Linked DNA regions of Diceros bicornis minor. The protein of the gene in region 2 interacts with the protein of the main gene of each other region in a biochemical or structural test. Links are inferred from orthologs where the notes say so. Each region holds a gene or a part of one and is shown on either strand. Other genes may lie near its edges. The genes, in order: MAGED1 and PJA1.

The links.
Region 1: the proteins of PJA1 (region 2) and MAGED1 form a complex in vitro, tested with the Homo sapiens proteins (2 studies listed by BioGRID, with this or other methods). The link is inferred for Diceros bicornis minor from reciprocal best matches to the Homo sapiens genes PJA1 and MAGED1.

What each region holds. Positions count from the first base shown.
Region 1 is NC_080781.1:44,340,207-44,348,822, reverse strand, and holds the start of MAGED1 (melanoma-associated antigen D1), read right to left. Parts: upstream 3,991-8,616; 5' UTR 3,911-3,990; intron 1-3,910. UniProt on the Homo sapiens protein: Involved in the apoptotic response after nerve growth factor (NGF) binding in neuronal cells. Inhibits cell cycle progression, and facilitates NGFR-mediated apoptosis. May act as a regulator of the function of DLX family members.
Region 2 is NC_080781.1:62,652,709-62,662,063, forward strand, and holds the start of PJA1 (E3 ubiquitin-protein ligase Praja-1), read right to left. Parts: upstream 3,936-9,355; 5' UTR 3,852-3,935; intron 1,889-3,851; 5' UTR 1,660-1,888; coding exon 1-1,659. UniProt on the Homo sapiens protein: Has E2-dependent E3 ubiquitin-protein ligase activity. Ubiquitinates MAGED1 antigen leading to its subsequent degradation by proteasome. May be involved in protein sorting.

The DNA.
Region 1 (8,616 bases), about 18 Mb from region 2:
ACCCATAACTCATACTGGCAACATACACAAAAATCAATTACAAAGGAACCGTAAATATAAGTGAGGGATTAAACAAAGACACAACATAAAAAATATCTTCATGACCTTGAGAAAGGCAAATATTTCTTAACCAGGACAAACGAGGAGTAGCCACGAAAGGGAAAAATTATGAATTGAACAATATTAAAATTGAGATCTTCAGTTCATCAAAAGACACTATTAAGAGATCAAAAATGCAAGTAACTGAGATTTGCAATAAATATATCTAACAAAGTATTCACATTCTTAATATAGAAAGATCTCCTACAAATCAATAAGAAAAAGACAGTTCAAAAGAAAAAGTGGTCAAAAGACTTGAATAGGCACCTCATAAAAAGATATCCAGGCCAACAAACATATGGAAAGATACACATTTATCACCAGAGATATGCAAATTAAAACCACAATGAGATACCATTCATAACCACTAGAATGGCTACTTTTTTTTCTTAAAAAGAAAAGACAATGACAAGTGTTGGCAATACTCTAGAGCAACTGGAACTCTTAAAAATTTCTGTTGGGAGTTTTTTAGTACAACCACTTTAGGAAACTGGTTGGCAGTATCTACTAAAGCTAGTCATATACATAACCTATGATTCAGCAATTCTAAGGTATATGCCCAACAGAAATGTGTGCATATATCACCAAAAGACATGTATTAGAATGTTCACAGTACTATTTACAGGCCAAAAATGGTAACAACCAAAATGCTCATCTATCATAATATATTCACATAATGCAATACATAGCAATGAGAATGAAGGACTTACTATAACACCTAATAACATGGATGAATCTCCAAAACAGAATCTTAAGCCAAAGAAGTCAGACCCCAAAAAATGCATACTATACTATTGTATTTTTATAAAGTCCAAAAACAGGCAAAATGATAGCAGTCATAGAAGCAGGACTGTGATTAATTTGGAGTTTAGTTGTGACTGGCAGGGAATACATTCAAGGGCTTTCAGATGTTGATCATGTTCTATTTCTTAATCTCAATGCTGGTTTACACAGGTGTGTTTACACTGTGAAAATGCTTTGAGCTGTACATTTACGATATGTGCATCTTTCTGCATGTTTTTAAGTTTACTTAAAAACAATGCCTGCCAATCTCAAATGGTTCAGCCAAAATATAGATTAAAAAAATATACAAAAAATTATATCTCAATAAAAAAATGGATGGATGGATGGATAGATAGAGCAAGCAAGTGAGTGAACAAGTGAGCTAATACGGCAAAAGTTAACAACTGTTGAATCTAGGTTCGGAGTATAAAAGTATTCATTGTAACTCTTCTTTAAATTTATACTTGTTTAAACTTTTTATTAAAAAACGTTCAAATAAAAAGACTCATCATGCCCCTCAGCTCTTAATATTTATAACTAGGAACTAATTCAAGCACCTGATATAATCCGATTTGTGAAAGGAAACTTTACAAAATGAAATTTCTACACCCAGATTATGTCTTATAAAATAATAAAATAAAATATTCTGTATATTTTCTATTTCTCATTAATAAACAGAGACAAACAGACAGGCAGATGGAGAGAAAGAGAGAACCAGGCCAGGACTGAGTGTCTGACAGACCTTAACTCCATGAACTCCACCACCATCTAGCAAGTTACTATCCACTTCTGAGCCTTGGTTTTATCATCAGTAAAATGACAACGGTAATACTGACCTTAGAGGGTGGTTTTTAACATTAGGGGGACAACTATATTTAAAAGCTTGTCTGTTACAGATAAGCACTGAATTAATTTCAATTTACCATACCAAATATTTATGGGCAACATATGAACACGCAGTGATAAGAGCAGTGAGAGAGGTAAGGAAATATGGTGTCCAATAACACACAATGCACCACAAATAAACAGACTGAGGAAGAGGTGAGGATGGAGATAGAGATGTCTTCCCATAGGGGCTGGTAACTGACGATTCACCTAAATGGTAGCAAGAAGCTAGGCAGGAAGAGAATATGGGGAATTTATATGGACAGATTAGATTATTTGAGTATGTAGAGTGCTGCATTTATGTTATGCAGAAAAGTGACCATGGGCAGGGTGGGGTGAGGGGAAGTGTAGAAAGCAGAGTGAACAAAAAATGCAGAGACACTGACGTAGATTATATCCTGTTTTCCCACTAATATCTGTATAGTTTGTACCCTCACTTCCTTTAGGTTTCTGCTCAAATGTCACCTTACTAGGGAGGCCTTCTTGATCATCTTTTCTAAAATAGTACAGCCCCTCCCCATCACCACCTATTATATATTTATTATATATTCATTTATTGTCTATCTCTCAACTATAAAAGACTGTGTTTTTATCTTCCACTGTTGTATCCTCAGTGCTTAGAACACTGTCTGGCACATAAAAGTTATTCAATAAAAAATTCTTTAATAAATGGATGGATGGATGTACAGTGGGTTGAAGCCAGTGTGATGATGTTTAAACGCTGTGTAATTACGGTTTGAATAGAGAATAGAGACATCAGCAATACCCTTTGAAAAAGTTCCTAAGTGTTTTGGTGTTATGATATCTCTGCCTCATTGTTTATTCTAAAAGAACTGAAAATTATACTCGGCCTAGAAAAAAGAATCACCTCTTATTTTGGCAAGCATAATACACTAGTTACAGGAGAAAGAGGGAATAAATTGCTTGTTCAAGGAGAGCCTTTGTTAAATTCCTCTTTAGAGCCTGAAAAATCCTGACTTTCATTATAAATTTAACGATCATCTCCCCTCACTTGGGTAAAGAACTGAAATAATAAATTGTGATTATAAACTAATGTTCTCATAAGACAAATTACACATGACAAATGGAACAGAAAAATACATTTTACGTTGCAAAAAACGAAAAAAAAAAAGACAAAAGTTTACATTGCACCAAATAGGTAATACTTGCAAAGCTCCTAGGAAAAATCTGTTTGAAAAATCTGCCAGCTTGCTATTCCATGTCGCTGCCAGAGACAAGAAAAGGATCTGCATAATAAACCCAACTCAAGTGAAATAATAAATTTGTGATTGGATGTCATATCTGTCAACCATTTCTGCCCTATGAGAAGTTCTAAAGGGAATGGCAAAGCTTCCACCCTCTAAAGCTGACACCAGGTTATAAGCAAAACCCACTATGTTTGCCCCTCTAAAACTGTGAGGATTCAATTCTAAGTAATTTTTTTTTAATGTCATGAGTAGAGGACTGAAACCAGTGCAATATCTTCTGTGTAATTTTGTTTACAGTAAAAAAATAAAGTAAATGAACATAATAATTTGAACGAGTCCCTATGTCTCTTAGGGCTCTAAAATTTCTGCTTCTTTGCTTATTTCTAAAAAGAACAAAAACAGCCCTGGCCTTGAAACTGAAGTCATACCCGATTTTGGAAAGTATATAATTCACTGGCCTCTGCAGGAGGGGGACAGGAGAGATCCGAAGCCTTCGGAGGAGTAAGATACTGGGGTCAGAAGGAAGAATGTGGGCTCAGAGTGGGGGAAGGGGTTTGCAAAAGTTCTGAGGCTAAAATGGGGTGGAGTGGAAGGTAGGAGTAAGAGGTAAGAAAGAAATCTGTGGTAGAGGGAATGATCCAGGCTCAGAAAGATCGTGAAGAGGATCGGGGATAATGAGGAGAGGTGAAGAATGACCACTGACAAAAAGGACCACAAGAGTCAGAAGGGGGAGGGGACGACCGCCTGCCATCTCTGGAGTAGGAGAGAGGAGATAGGGAGGCGACCGGAACCACAAGGATCAGAAACACCCTTCATACAATGGACTCTGGAGATGAATTCTTCTTTCCATCCCGTGTTGAAGCAAAGAGGAAAGCTTCCCTACAGCGTTTGGGGATTCACTTGTAAGAATTACCAGACCCTTTCTTTACACTCACCTTGACGAAGAAAGCCGCAACGCGACGTTGGCGGGACCGGAAGTGCTATTTTCTTTTGTTTGGCAGAAGCTTAAGCTTCTGCCGCCACCCGCCCACACTTCACTCCAGGCAACTTCCTGTGCCTCTCTAGCAAGCTCTTGCAATACTTGAACTTATTGGCTCTCTCAGCGGATGAGAACCTGGGTAGTGATGTAAAACGACTGGGAGGGGGAATCAGTAACTGTTTACAAATCCCGGCTGTAGTCATCCCAGGAACTGCAGTATCTCTGCCAAACTCCACGTATTCAATTTGTCACCTCACCTTGTTGATTCAGCCTTTGGAATACCTCCTTTACCCTTAGTCCCTTAACTTTTGGATGTCTATAGTTACGTATTTACCATACTGGTTTACTGTTTTCTGACACACAGTTTTGAAAAAAAGTTCATTTTTATTAGTGGCATATTTCAATTTCAAGATTTTTAAAAAATCTTAAATCTGAATCATGTTTGTATTGGGATGATATCCAAAGAGTTTCATGCCATACTCAAATTTCCAAATAAATAAAGGTGAATTCATTTAGAAAGCATTCTTGTATACTTATATACTCCCCCCAAAAATGAAGAAAATGACAACTGACAAAAAGTTTCAATAATAAGAATAATCTTTACTCTCGTTAAAAGTTCAATATTGAATTACTCATTGCCACTAACTCCAGAAAGCTCTTTTGAGTCCAAAATCTGTACCCCAGTTCTCCTCTTTTGTGATTATTTTCATTCAATCCACAAGTATGTACTGAGTGCTTACCGTGTCCCAAACACTATGCTACATAGAGAAGCATTGCACCAGGAGCCTACAGACTAGGGGCTAAAGGTGACATTTAAACATATGAAAGTCTAGCATAAAACAGGTGATTATCAATGTTTGTTCAATGAATAAATGACCAAAATGTGGTCAGGGCAATGATGGGAGCCAGCACAAGGTCCTCACTTTTGCTAGTATTTTTATACTTCATTTCAACATTTTGACTCATATTTTGTCATTCAACCAACATATTTTGAACAACCACTCAATATAAGGTTCGGTTCCTGATACTTCCCATATAAAGAAGAACAAAACATACTTCTGATTTCAAGACCCTCCAACCAGTGAGGGAAATGAACACATAAACAATTAGCAGCACTATAATGTGACAATAATAATCAGTAAAGAGGAGATAGTGTAGGAACTATGACTATCCCATTGACTGGTCAATACTAAAAACCTAAAATAGACCTCACGTCCTACAGGATGCTCAATAAAGACTTGTTCAATGTTGAATAAATGGTTGAACGGATGAATGAAAGGAAATAATGGCAGTGGAGTTGAAGTATCATGTGAAAGGAGCAGTGATGAGAGATGAAGCTGGATGTAAGAAGCCAGAGAAAGAAGGATCTTGCATGCCATGTTGTAGTGTCTGAGCTTAATTATGAGGAAAACAGAAAGTCAAAGAAGAATTTTAAGGAAGAAAGTATACAGTAACATTTCAAACCAAAATATAGAAAATGGGTTGTACTGGTGCAATCTGAGGCAGAGACGTTGGTTTAGAGGATATTGTGGTAATCAATGAATAAATACAGAAAGTTAGGGGCTTGTGCTATTAAGAATTAATTATATTTGGGAATTGAGCTGAAAAAAAAATAGCCAGTGGATTATCAGAAATCCAGAGGCATTGAAACTTGAGTATTTTCCTTGACTCTCTCTACATTCAAATTTTTTGTTAGTTCATGCAACAAATATTTACTGAGCAGTTAATATGCACTGGGCTCTCAGGATAGAACTGTGACGAAAACGGACAAAAATTTCTGCCCTCACAGGAGTTACATTCTTGTGTCAGATAACAAAATTTTTGGGAAAATACATGCTAAAAAGTGACAAGTGCTATGAAGAAATAAAGCAGGTAAGTAGGATAGCAATGTGTGTGGGAGAGAGGTAGGGGGCTGCCATTACAGAAGGGCTCACTAAAAGGGTGATATATGAACAACATTGATAGATTTCATCCATTTCTCTCAGTCACCAAGATAACTATCTTAGTTCAGACTCTCCATATTTCTCCCCAAATCCCAACTCCTTACCATGGTATACAAATGCCTTGGTAGTCTAACTCTGTCTCTCTCTCTCTCTCTCTGTCTCTCTCTCTGTCTCTCTCTCTCTCTCTCTCTCGCCTCATCTCTCACCACTCAGCCTCTTCTACCCTAAGTCCAAGTCTCACACAACTGCTTATAATTTGGAAAGTGCGCCAGGATCTCAAATCTCTGTGCTTTCACACTCTGTTAACTCATATTCACCCTTCAAAGGTCAGCTCACATTTTATCTCTTTCACGAAACCATGCTGACTCTTTCTTTCACTCCTTAACCAAAACTAGACAACAGCTCCTCTTCTCTGCTTCTGCCATGTATCCTATTCTTATCACTTTCTTTCATTCACTCAACAAACATTTGTTGGTCAACTACTGTGTGGTTGTCACTGCTCAAGGCAGTAGAGAGACATGCATAAGTAAAGGAATGAAAAAAATCCTTGCACTTTGGAACTTACATTTTAGTGAGGAAGACAAGCAATAAACAAAACAACGTAATAAATATGGAACTTACAAAGCAGTAGTTATCAACTCTGGATGCCCATTAGAATCAGTAGGAGACCTTTTGTCTTTCTTCTTTTTTTAATACCAATGCCTAGTTCCCGTCCCAGCCAAAATTAACCTAAAGCTCTAGGGGTGAGGTCTGGCATTTATATGTGAATTTAAAGCTCTTTAGGGTGTTTCTGATGCACGGAGGAGATTGAAAATTACTGCCCTACAGGCTACACCTCAGGAAAAAGGAAATGATCCCAGAAGGACAGTCTGAAAAGCTAGAAGGAATGGAGAGCAAGTTAAAATGATAAACATGTATGTCAATCTAAAAAACAAATATGGTATGTATAAAAACATAATAATTAGGACTGAGTTGTGGGGTTGAAGAAAATGGTGATTCAAAGATTATGAACAAAAATATTATATAACAAGAAAAGATGGAGATAAGAATTAAATTGAGAGAGAAGTTAATATATTTTTAAAGTTCAGACATTAAGTTAAATAATTGTAATAAATATTCAGAAGTTACTACTAAAATAGCAGAAGCACAGTGAGAGTAAAAAATAGAATAAGCAAAATGCATAAATTTAAATCCATAGAGAGATAAAATGAAATAGGATAAAAAATTTCAATCATTAAAAACAAGAAGCACATACCTATATAAACAGAAAGACATGTGGTTTGATGGATAGTGTTTACCTCTGGGATAGGTGAAGAGAGGCAGAGGAGGATCTCATAGCCAGAGAAAATTTATTAATAATTATCTTGCTCTTGAGTTGATAGATGGTTCAGAAGTGTTCATTATACCACTGCTGTTTATAATTTACAAATATATTACACATATTATTTTGTATATATCATCTATTATAATAAAGTTACAAAGAATAATTTAAAAAAGTAATTACCAAAAAATGAGATAAAATTATATGCAATAAAAACTTTCCATCTTATACCTGGCCCCTAGCGACCTAGTGAGGTTCTTATTCTTTCAAAGACATTTTATACATATGCAAGCAAACAATTGTATATATTTTTTTACATTTTTACCAAACAATAGCATATGATACAAACTATTTCGCACCACGATTTTTTTCACTTAACTATATATGTAGGCATTCATTTCTCCATGGTGCATAAAGACATTTGTCATTTTTTTAAATTACATGCAGTAAACTACTTTTTTGGCATGTACAGTACTACGAATATTAGCACATGCATTGATTCATGTAACCACACTACAGTCAGAATACAAGACAATCCCTAAATCCCTCAAAGTCCCTATGATATCCTGTATTAGTCACACAGTCCTCCCTACCCCTAAACCCTGGCCGACTCACCTGTTCTCTTTCAGTCTAGTTTCTTCTTTTCTAAAATGTCATATAAATGGAAACGTAGAATATGTAACCTTTTGAAACAGGCTTCTTTTACTTTGGATAACACTTTTGAAATTCATTTAAGTCGTTGCATGTATCAATCATTCATCAGTTTTTATTTCTGAATGGTATTTCATTGTATGGATGTATCACAAATTGTTTATCCATTCACCAATTGAAAGATATTTGGGTGGTTTCCACTTTTGGAGATGATCAATTAAGCAGCTATAACATTCATATGCAGATTTTTGTGTGAACATAAGTTTTAATTTCTCAAAAGAAGTGCCTTGGAGTAGGATTGCTCATAAATGGTCATGGTATGTGGATGTTTAATTTAAATAAAAACTGCCAAAATGTTTTCTAAAGTGGCTGTATCATTTTGCATTCCCACCAGCAATATGTGAAAGTACTAATTGCTCCACATCCTTGCCAACACTTTGTATTCTTCATACTTTTTTTCATGTTAGCCATTCTAACAGGTAGGTAATAGAATCTCTTTATGGTTTTAGTATGCACACCATTTGTTAAAAGGACTTTTGTTTCTCCATTGAATATGCACCTTTGTAAAAAATAAATTCACCATATTTGTATTGGTCTATTTCTGAACCCTCTGTTCTTTTGCACTGATCTATGTGTCATCCCTTCACCAATACCACACTGTCTTGATAACTGTAGTTTTAAACTAAATCTTAATCTCAAGTGGTGTGATTCCTTCAAATTTATTCTTCTTTTTCAAAATTGGCTTGG
Region 2 (9,355 bases):
CTCCACATCCACCGCAAGAGACTCCAAGTGCGCAAGGGCAGTTTCCATTGCCTGGGCCAGGCGTTCTTCAAGTGCCATGTATGTGAGGAACTGAGGATCCACATAGGAAATGGCTTCGGCCACCCCCAACCCATCTGCAAACCCATCAAAGAGGCTCCAATCCACTTCTAGGTCTTCACTCACACTGGAGTCATCTTCAAGGTTGTTGTTTCCATCCAGCATGAACACTCCGGGCTGCAGAAACTCCTGACCAGAATCATTATCCCCCTCACTGCTACTCTCATTTTCATTGTATGGCAGCCAAGGAACTTCTTCTTCTGGGGATGCCCGCTCCTCTTCCTGAAGAGATGGTCCTCGAACTTCTTCAAGTTCATTGCTGCCAGCACTGGCACTAGCACTGGGGCTGGCGCTGGCACTGGCACTGGCATTCACTCTGGCTTGCTCAGGTTCATGCTCTTCTCTCCCTGGCAGAGTCTCCCAGCTTTCACCACTGGATGACAGATTTTGCTCCCGACCTCGATATTTCCGACGCAGAGCAGCAGTCCACTCTTTGTCACTGTCAGAGTCTTCACCAAAATATTTGTAGTAATCATCGCTGTACGTCCAGAAGTCAGGGTCGGCCATGGTTCGTCGCCGTCTCGGCACCTTTTCTGGCTTCACTTGGTCATTCCTGGCTTCCCTCTTGTCTTCAGGGTACTTAGGCTCAGAGTAGCCACTTGAACTCTCGCCTCTGCCTCTTTTGGCTAGGCTATCCGAGTGGCCGTCATCAGTGTTGGCAGTATCCCTCCACCTGGAAGTACTGTGTGGCATATCATCATCATCATCAGTATCAAAAAACATTTTTGGTTTCACACAGTTTGGACTTGCCAGATTTCTGATTTTGGGCCTCACCACTGGTTCCTCTGCACCCTTTGGGGTGTTTTCCCCACCACCACAAATACTCACAGGAGCCCTGCCCGGACGTGCAGGCAAATTCTGCTCCTGTCTCTCCCGCTCCAGGCTATTACCATTTGTAGCCACTTTGCCTTCATCAGCAGGTGTCTGAGAGACCATGCTATTTTGCTGCAGAAACTCAGCTCGGCTAGCAGAGCATCTTGCTGCAGGGGCTGGGTCTAACTTGTCAAGCTCCTCTCTCACATCACGGTTAAAACTAGAGAACTGTGGGGGCACCCCAGTCAGAGACCTCACCCCTTTCTCTGGGTCATACAGCTTATCATCTTTAAACTTGCCAGTTTTCCCTCTCACTGGTGCTCGCTCAACAGGCCCAGCCCCCTCCTCCTCACTATCATCTGCCCCGAAAGAGTCAACATGTCCATAAGCCATTCCTCTTCTGCTACCCGAAGCCCTGTACTCGCGTGGCGGGTACCTGGTGTAGTCCTCATTGTCAACATTCAGGCTGGTTCCCGAGCTCTCACTGTCGTCCCAACTACGACGAGTGGTGGAAAATGGCGAGCGGCTCCTCTTGGTGGTTTGACTGGGGGCTGATCTGTGCATTGAGACTTCAGATGTCGTCTTTCTCTGACTGGAAATTCTTTCCTGCTGGCTCGTGGACGGCCTGAAACTGACATAAGCATGCCTCCTTCCATACCTCCTGCCTGTGTTGGACTGATACCCTCCTGCTGGCTTGGGCCATACAGGCTTGCTAGATTCCTGACCCATTGCTCTGACTTAGGAGGGTTTCCAATACAGCTTGGGGCTCGAGTGGAAAGGCTCCTGCTCCCTGTACACACTTTGGAGATGGGAAAGTCAAATCAGTTCAGAATAAAGGAGCAGGGAGATTTACTTTCACTTCAGCAGGCAGGTAACAGAAAGAATAAGGGGCCTTTTAAATTAGTTTCACTTTCTTCTAAGGCCTGGAGTAGCATTCCAGTGACTGTCAGGTGTAGACCTGGAACACATTTTTAATGTTGGCAAAATGATTACAAAACTGGATTTGCAGGAAAGCCACACTTAGAGGAGAATCTGACAGAAGACGGGGGGTGACTGGATGCTTGGAAGGGGGGTGAAGTACTGTGGAATTGTGCCAACATGGGAAGAAGAAAGGCTGCTGCAGGTTTTTTACGGGGTGTCTGCGTTTTTTGGAGCCCTGCAGACATACAGGAGAAATGCAAATTGGAAAAGGGTGGAAAATATAGATCACCATGTGTGCAGGAGTGCCTATGTGTCTAGCAGGAGGAGAGAAGCAGGTGGAAGGGGGACCAGCAATCATGCAGTGGAGAGATGTCTGTGTTTGTAGGGGGAAGGAGCATGTGACAGTGACATTGGGAAGAGGTGTGAGTGTCAGAATGAGACCCATTCTGAATGTATGAAAATGACAGGTGTGGATGGGGTGGCTTTAGAGGAGAGAGGTGTGTGTGAGTATGAGAGAGAGAATGTGTGTGTGGTGTTGTATGTATGGCAGCTGGAACTCTATGCAGGGATGCCTGTGCTTATGCATCTGTGGCAGGCAAGGAAGGGTACGGTGGCATTGGACAGGGACGTCCATGAGTTTGTGTGTGTGTTCATCAAAATGGGAGGCAACAATGGAGAAATGTCAATATGAGCAAATGCATCGATGAGGACAGCACTGGAGAGGGATGTGCTTGTGGCGGGCAGGCGGAACAGGGGCCAGCAATCAAAGAAGGTCTGTATGCATGAATGTGGCTAGCAGGGAAGGGGGTGGCGTCCCTGGAAAAGGATTTATGTGAGTGTGTGCACCACAGGGGCCAGCAAAGGAGGGCTGTCTGTGCATACAAGTAGCAGACAGGGAACAGGAGAGGGGAGCATTTAAGAGGGGTGTGTGAACAAGTGTGTGTGGGGGCATATGTATGTAAGCAGCATATGAAAGAGGAGCCAGCAATTGAAGGATATCCTTATGTGTGTATGTGGCAGGCAGGGGATAAGATGGTCCCAGAGGGAGGGTGAGTGTGTGAGTGTGTGTGTGTGTGTGTGTGTTCTCCAGAGCATGAAGAGGCAGAAGGAGGAGGGGGCCGCTTCTGGAAGTGTGTATGGGACAGGAAGTGAGAGGTAGGGAAAGGCACTGGACGGTATGACAATGTGTGAAAGGGTGTGTGTGCGTGTGTGTGTCCATGCATGCGCGGGGGAGGGGATGCATCGCAACCTTGAGTATGGGGAGATGGAGAGGGGGCTGCAATGGAAGGTTTCTGTGCGTCTGTGTGTGTGCATGTGTGTATGTGTGTGTATACGCGTGCATGTGTGTGTGTGTCCCCATGTGCGCACTTGGAGACATGGGGGTGGGGGCGGCACAATGTCATAGTGAGAGACAGGAAAATGTTATCAGTCCAAACGGTAGATCCAAACCAAACAGATATGACAGGGAAGGGGAAAAAAGAAAGAAAAGGGCGTATGTGGATATAGTTTTCCCGGGGGAATAATTTGTTTTTCTGCCAATTCTTTTCCTGGGAACAATATATTTACCTAAAAATCTTAACAATTTACCATTCAGCAAAACAACTGCAAAATGGGGGAAGAAAGGCCACGGAGTGCTGCGCAAAGGGGCCAAGAAGGGAGGAAGGAAGGGGGGGAGGAGAGGCAGAGAGAGGTGGGAGAGGGCCGTGACACCACTCCCCTCTCATATAGCGATTAAAGCCATTCAAGTGGGGGCCGTGCCACACGAAAGGGGCTGGAGGACGGAGGATGGAGCCCCAAAACAGGCCAATGGAGGACACAGGCCTCACTCTGCAGTCAGGTCCCGCGTCCGCCCCACCCCTTCCCGAGGGGCGAGCCTGAAAATCTGTCCTATAGAGCCCCCCACAATTCTCGCCTCCGTGCCCAGCCACCCGCCCATGCCCGGCCAGTCGTCCCACTGCCGCGTCTGAATAAATCGAGGAAAGAAACCGCCTTTCACTCACCCAGTCCCGACCCCCGTACGCTCTCGAGAGGAACAGAGCTCTCAGACCTCCGACCGCCACGACCGCCAGAGCCGCTGCTCCCGGGTCTCCAGCTCCTCCCCCGCCAGACAGCAGTGGGGCGGGCGGCGACTGCGGCGGCGGAAGTGGTTGTGGCGTCGGCTGGGGCCCGCCCCCTTGATGTGGCGGGGGTGGCAGCCGCTCTCGACAAATCAAGGAGGGCCCGAAAGCATTATTTCATTTTAAATGATGAAATCGTCAAGGATACAGAAAAGGACAGCGAAAAATGTAACCAACAGCCAGCTTTAACAAATGTTAAACATTTAGCCATATTCCCTTCTGTTCTCGGTTTTTTTTTTTCCAGTAAAATGAAATCTGCAATTCTTTCTGATTAATTCCAATGTGAAAGTAATTATATGACTATATCATATCCTATGTTATGTGGTATGGCTTGTACTGGAAGTATTAAAAATGTGAAACTGTATTTAGGGTTGCAGTAAGCTTAAATTTTTTTAACCTGGTGGTTGAAGCAAATTGAACTGTTTACAGTAGAATTGTTGCTGTTAATCGCAAAATCAAGTTTCTTGACTGAAATGAAAAGAAATGATCGATCATGAAGCACACACGGGTTCACATTCTGGTCATTGAATTGCTGTGCCTTTTAGAGTTATACAATTTTCTTAAACTCTGAACTCTTTTTTATAAATCGCACTTTACAATGTTATCTCTAATATTTACATTGAATGTCAAGACATCTATGTTCACAACAATAACAAAGTTTTGTTCTGACTGGAAATAAAATGTAAAATAGAAGAACAAGAAATTTTAAGGGTAACAATAGAATAGAAATAGGCTGTATAACTTTCAAACCATTAAAGAAATAATATGTAGAACAAAGAGAAAAACTCAGTCTAACAAAGGGTAGAAATGGGGTGGGAGGCAGCAAGAAAGGATGTTAAAAAATAAAAAACAAAGGGCAGGAATAAATGCAAATACATCAGTATGTATTATGGGTTAATATCTCCTATAAAAAAGCAAACTCTCATTTTGAGCATTTCGTTTTTAGAAATCCAGTTATATGCTGTTTATATGAGTTTCACCTAAAGCAGAAATAGGAATAGAAAATATATGCCAGTGAAATACTAGCGGGAAGGAAGGAAGAAAAGAAGAAAGGGAGGAAAGGAGGGAGGGAGAGAGGAGAAGGAAGGAATTTAGGGAAAAAAAAGAGAAGGAAAGAAGGAAGAAAGGAAAGATACATGTAGAAATATTAATATCAGAAAAATCAAAAACTCAAAGTAAAAAGCATTAAAGAGAACAAAACAGGTTGTTTCATTCACTGAGAAGATATAGTCACTAAAATTTATATGCCAAACAATGTAATTTCAAAATAAATGAGGCAAATATTATTAGAAATGTAAAGAGAGATGAAAAAGTCTGCAATTATCGTGAGAGATTCAACCGCACTTGTTATGGTATAGATAGATCACATAGACTGCAAAGAAACGAGGATATAGAGAGATTGAACAACACACTGAACAAGCCTGATCTAATGTATACATATTTTTTGGACTCAAGAAATGATGTATTTTTTTATAAAAAATATTTCAAACATACAGAAAAGTACAGAGTATAAAATGCATATTTGCATGTACCTGTCACACAGGGTGAGCAAATTTTATTTTCTTCAGATCCTCAGATCCTTCTGTTTTTGAAACAAAATATTAGAGTTGAAGCTCTCACTTTATTCTATTCATCTTCTTTTCCCAAAAGAAGCACTGTTTAGAAGTTTCCTTCTTGTCCGTGTTTTTCTTTTTCTACATATGTATATATCCATAACCAATACACATTATTCTTTTATGTATTTTAAATTATTTAAATGTTATTATAATAAATACATTCTTTTGCAACTTAAATTTTCACTTATTTTTTTTGAAATTTAGCAATTTGATACATTTAGATCTAGGTCATGCATTTTAACTGCTGAATACTATTGTATTAATTTTCCAATATAGTATTACTATAATATATTATATGGACATCTGTTGCATCAATTATCCAATTTCTTTATCTCTTTCCCTGCTGATAGACTTGGGTTGTTTCTGTTTTGTGCAATTATAAATGAGGATTTAATGAACATCCTAGCACATGGCTCCTCGTGCCCATATGGATGAGTTTCTCTGGGGCAAACCTTCCCAACTGGGTAATGGGTATTCTGACATATCAATGCCCTTAGCTCTCCAGGAAGATGGGCCTGGCTTCACTCAGCTGCTGCCCTGGGGACTGTTGCCTCTGGCTAAGAGCAGACTGTCTGTTCATCCCAATGAACTGGCACAATTATTAGCATTTTAACATATGCTCTGACGTGAAAAAGATTGGAAAAAATTGCTCTAGTGTATGTACATTGAAGTGAAGTTTCTGGGTCAAAGGGTATATAGTAGTTATCTATTGCTGTGTAACAAATTGCCCCAAAACTTAGCAGCTTAAAAAAACAAAGATTTATTACATCAGAGTTTCTGTGGGTTAGGAATCTATGCACGGCTTACCTGGGTGCCTCTGGTTCGAAGTCTCTCATGAAGTTGCACTCCAACTGTCATCTGGGGCTGCAGTTTCATTTGCAGGCTTAATTGAGGAGTGAGGTCCACATCAAAGCTCTTTTACTTGGCTGTTGGCAGGCTCAGAAAATCCACTTGCAAGCTCACTCATGTGGTTGCTGTCAGGCTTCAATTCCTTGTCATGTGGGCCTATCCACGGGCTTCCTGAGTCTCCTCACAACATGGCAGTCGGTGAGAGAAACAGCCAAAGAGCACCTAAGATGGAAGACATAGTCCTTTTATGACTTAAGCTCAGAAGTGACATCCCAACACTTTTGCCATATCCTAGTCGTTGAAAGCGAGCCACAGAATTTGTCCATTTCATCTAAGTTATCAAATTTGTAGGCATGGAGTTGGTCATAATATGTCTTTATTATCCTTTTGATGTCCGTGAGATCAGTAGTAATGGCTCCTCTTTCATTTCTGTTATTCGTAATTTTGTCTATTCTCTTTTTTCTTTTCTTTTTCTTTTTCTTTTTTTAAGTAGGGGCAGTATCTTTTTTTTTTTTTTTTGGCAGGGAAAGATTCACCCTGAGCTAACATCTGTTGCCAATCTTCCTCTTTTATTTTCCTCCCCAAAGCCCTAGAGCACAGTTGTATATCCTAGTTGTAAGTCATTCTAGTTCTTCAATGTGAGCCCCTGCCACAGCATGGCAACTGATAGACGGGTGGTGTGGTTCCACTACCAGGAAATAAACCTGGGCTGCCAAAGCAGTAAGAGCACCAAACTTTAACCACTAGAGCATCAGGGCTGGCTCTACTCTCTTTTTTTCGTGGTGAGCCTGGCTAAAGACTTACCAATCTTATTGATCTTTTCAAAGAATCAGCTTTTGGTTTTGTTGATATTCTCTATTGTTCTGTTTTCAATTTCATTTATTTCTGTTCTTTTGTTATTTTCCTCTGCTCACTTTGGATTTAATTTGCTTTTCTTTTTCTAGTTTCCTAAGGTGGAAGCTTAGATTATTGATTTTAGATCCTTCTTCTTTTCTAATATATGTATTCAATGTTATAAATTTCCCTCTAAGCACTGCTTTTACTGCATCCCACAAATTTTGTTGTTATAGTTTCATTTTCACTTATTTCAAAATATTTTTTCAATTTCTCTTAAGACTTCTTCTTAACCCATATGTTATTTAGAAATGTGTTGTTTAATCTCCAAATATTTGGGAATTTTCCAGCTATCTTTCCGTTATTGATTTCTAATTTAATTCCACTGTGGTCTGAGAGCACACTTTGTATAATATCTATTCTTTTAAATTTGTTAAGGTGTATTTTCTGGCCCAGGATGTGGTCTATCTTGGTGAATATTCCATGTGAGCTTGAGAAGAAAGTGTATTCTGCTGTTGTTGAATGAAGTAATCTATAAATATCAATTAGATCCAGGTGATTGATGGTGCTATTCAGTTCAACCATAGCCTTACTGATTTTGTGCCTGCTGGATTTGTCAATTATTGATGGAGGGGTGTTGAAGTCTCCAACTATAATAGTGGATTCATCTATTTTTCCTTGTAGTCCTACCCATTTTTGCCTCATGTATTTTGATGCCTTTTTGTCAGGTGCATACACATTAAGGACTGTTACGTCTTCTTGGAGAATTGACCCCTTTTATCATTATGTAATGCCCCTATTTATCCCTGATAATTTTCCTTGTTCTGAAATCTGCTTTGTCTGGAATTAACATAGCTACTCCAGCTTTCTTTTTATTAATGTTAGCATGTATCTCTTCCTCTATCCATTTACTTTTAATCTGTGTCTTTATATCTAAAATGGGTTTCTTGTAGAAAACATATAGTTGGGTCTTTTTTTATTTTTATTTTTTTTTGTGTGTGTGTGTGAGGAAGATCAGCCCTGAGCTAACATCCATGCTAATCCTCCTCTTTTTGCTGAGGAAGACCGGCTCTGAGCTAACATCTATTGCCAATCCTCCTCCTTTTTTTTCCCCAAAGCCCCAGTGGATAGTTGTATGTTATAGTTGCACATCCTTCTAGTTGCTGTATGTGGGATGCGGCCTCAGCATGGCCGGAGAAGCGGTGTGTCAGTGCGCACCCGGGATCCAAACCCGGGGCCGCCAGTAGTGGAGCGTGCACACTCAACCGCTAAGCCACAGGGCCGGCCCTGGGTCTTTTTTAAAATCCATTCTGATAGTCTCTGCCTTTTAATTGGTGTAGTTAGACCATTCACATTTAAAATGATTATTGTTATGGTTGGATTAATATGTACCGTATTTGTAACTGTTTCCTATTCATTGTCCTTGTTCTTTGTTTCTCTCTTTTTGTCTTCCATTCTTTTTCTCTCTTCTCTGATTTTAATTGAGCACTTTATATGATTCCATTTTCTCACCTCTCTTAGGATTTCAATTATATTTCTTATTTTTACATTTTTTAGTGGTTGCCCTAGAGTTTGCAATATACATTTACAACTAATCCAAGCCCACTTTCAAATGACACTATACTACTTCATGGGTAGTGCATGTACCTTATAACAGAGTATTCCCAATTCCTTCCTCCTGTCCCTTATAACACCACTGTCATTCATTTCACTTATCTGTAGGCTATAATCATCCAATACATTGTTGCTATTATTATTTTTTGAACAAACTATTATCTGTTAGGTCAGTTAAGAATAAGAAAAATGGAAGATTTTATTTTATTTATACCTTTATTTATTCCTTCTCAAACACTCTCCCTTTTTTTATGTAGATCCAAGTTTCTGACCTATATTCTTCTTCTTTCTGAAGAACTTCTTTTTTGTTGTTTTTTTTTTTTTTTATTGATGTTTTAATGGTTTCTAACATTGTGAAATTTTGGGTTGTACATTTTTGTTTGTCCATCACCCCATATATGACTCCCTTCACCCCTTGTGCCCACCCCCCACCCCCCACCCCCACTGCCCGGGTAACCACAGTCCAGTTTTCTC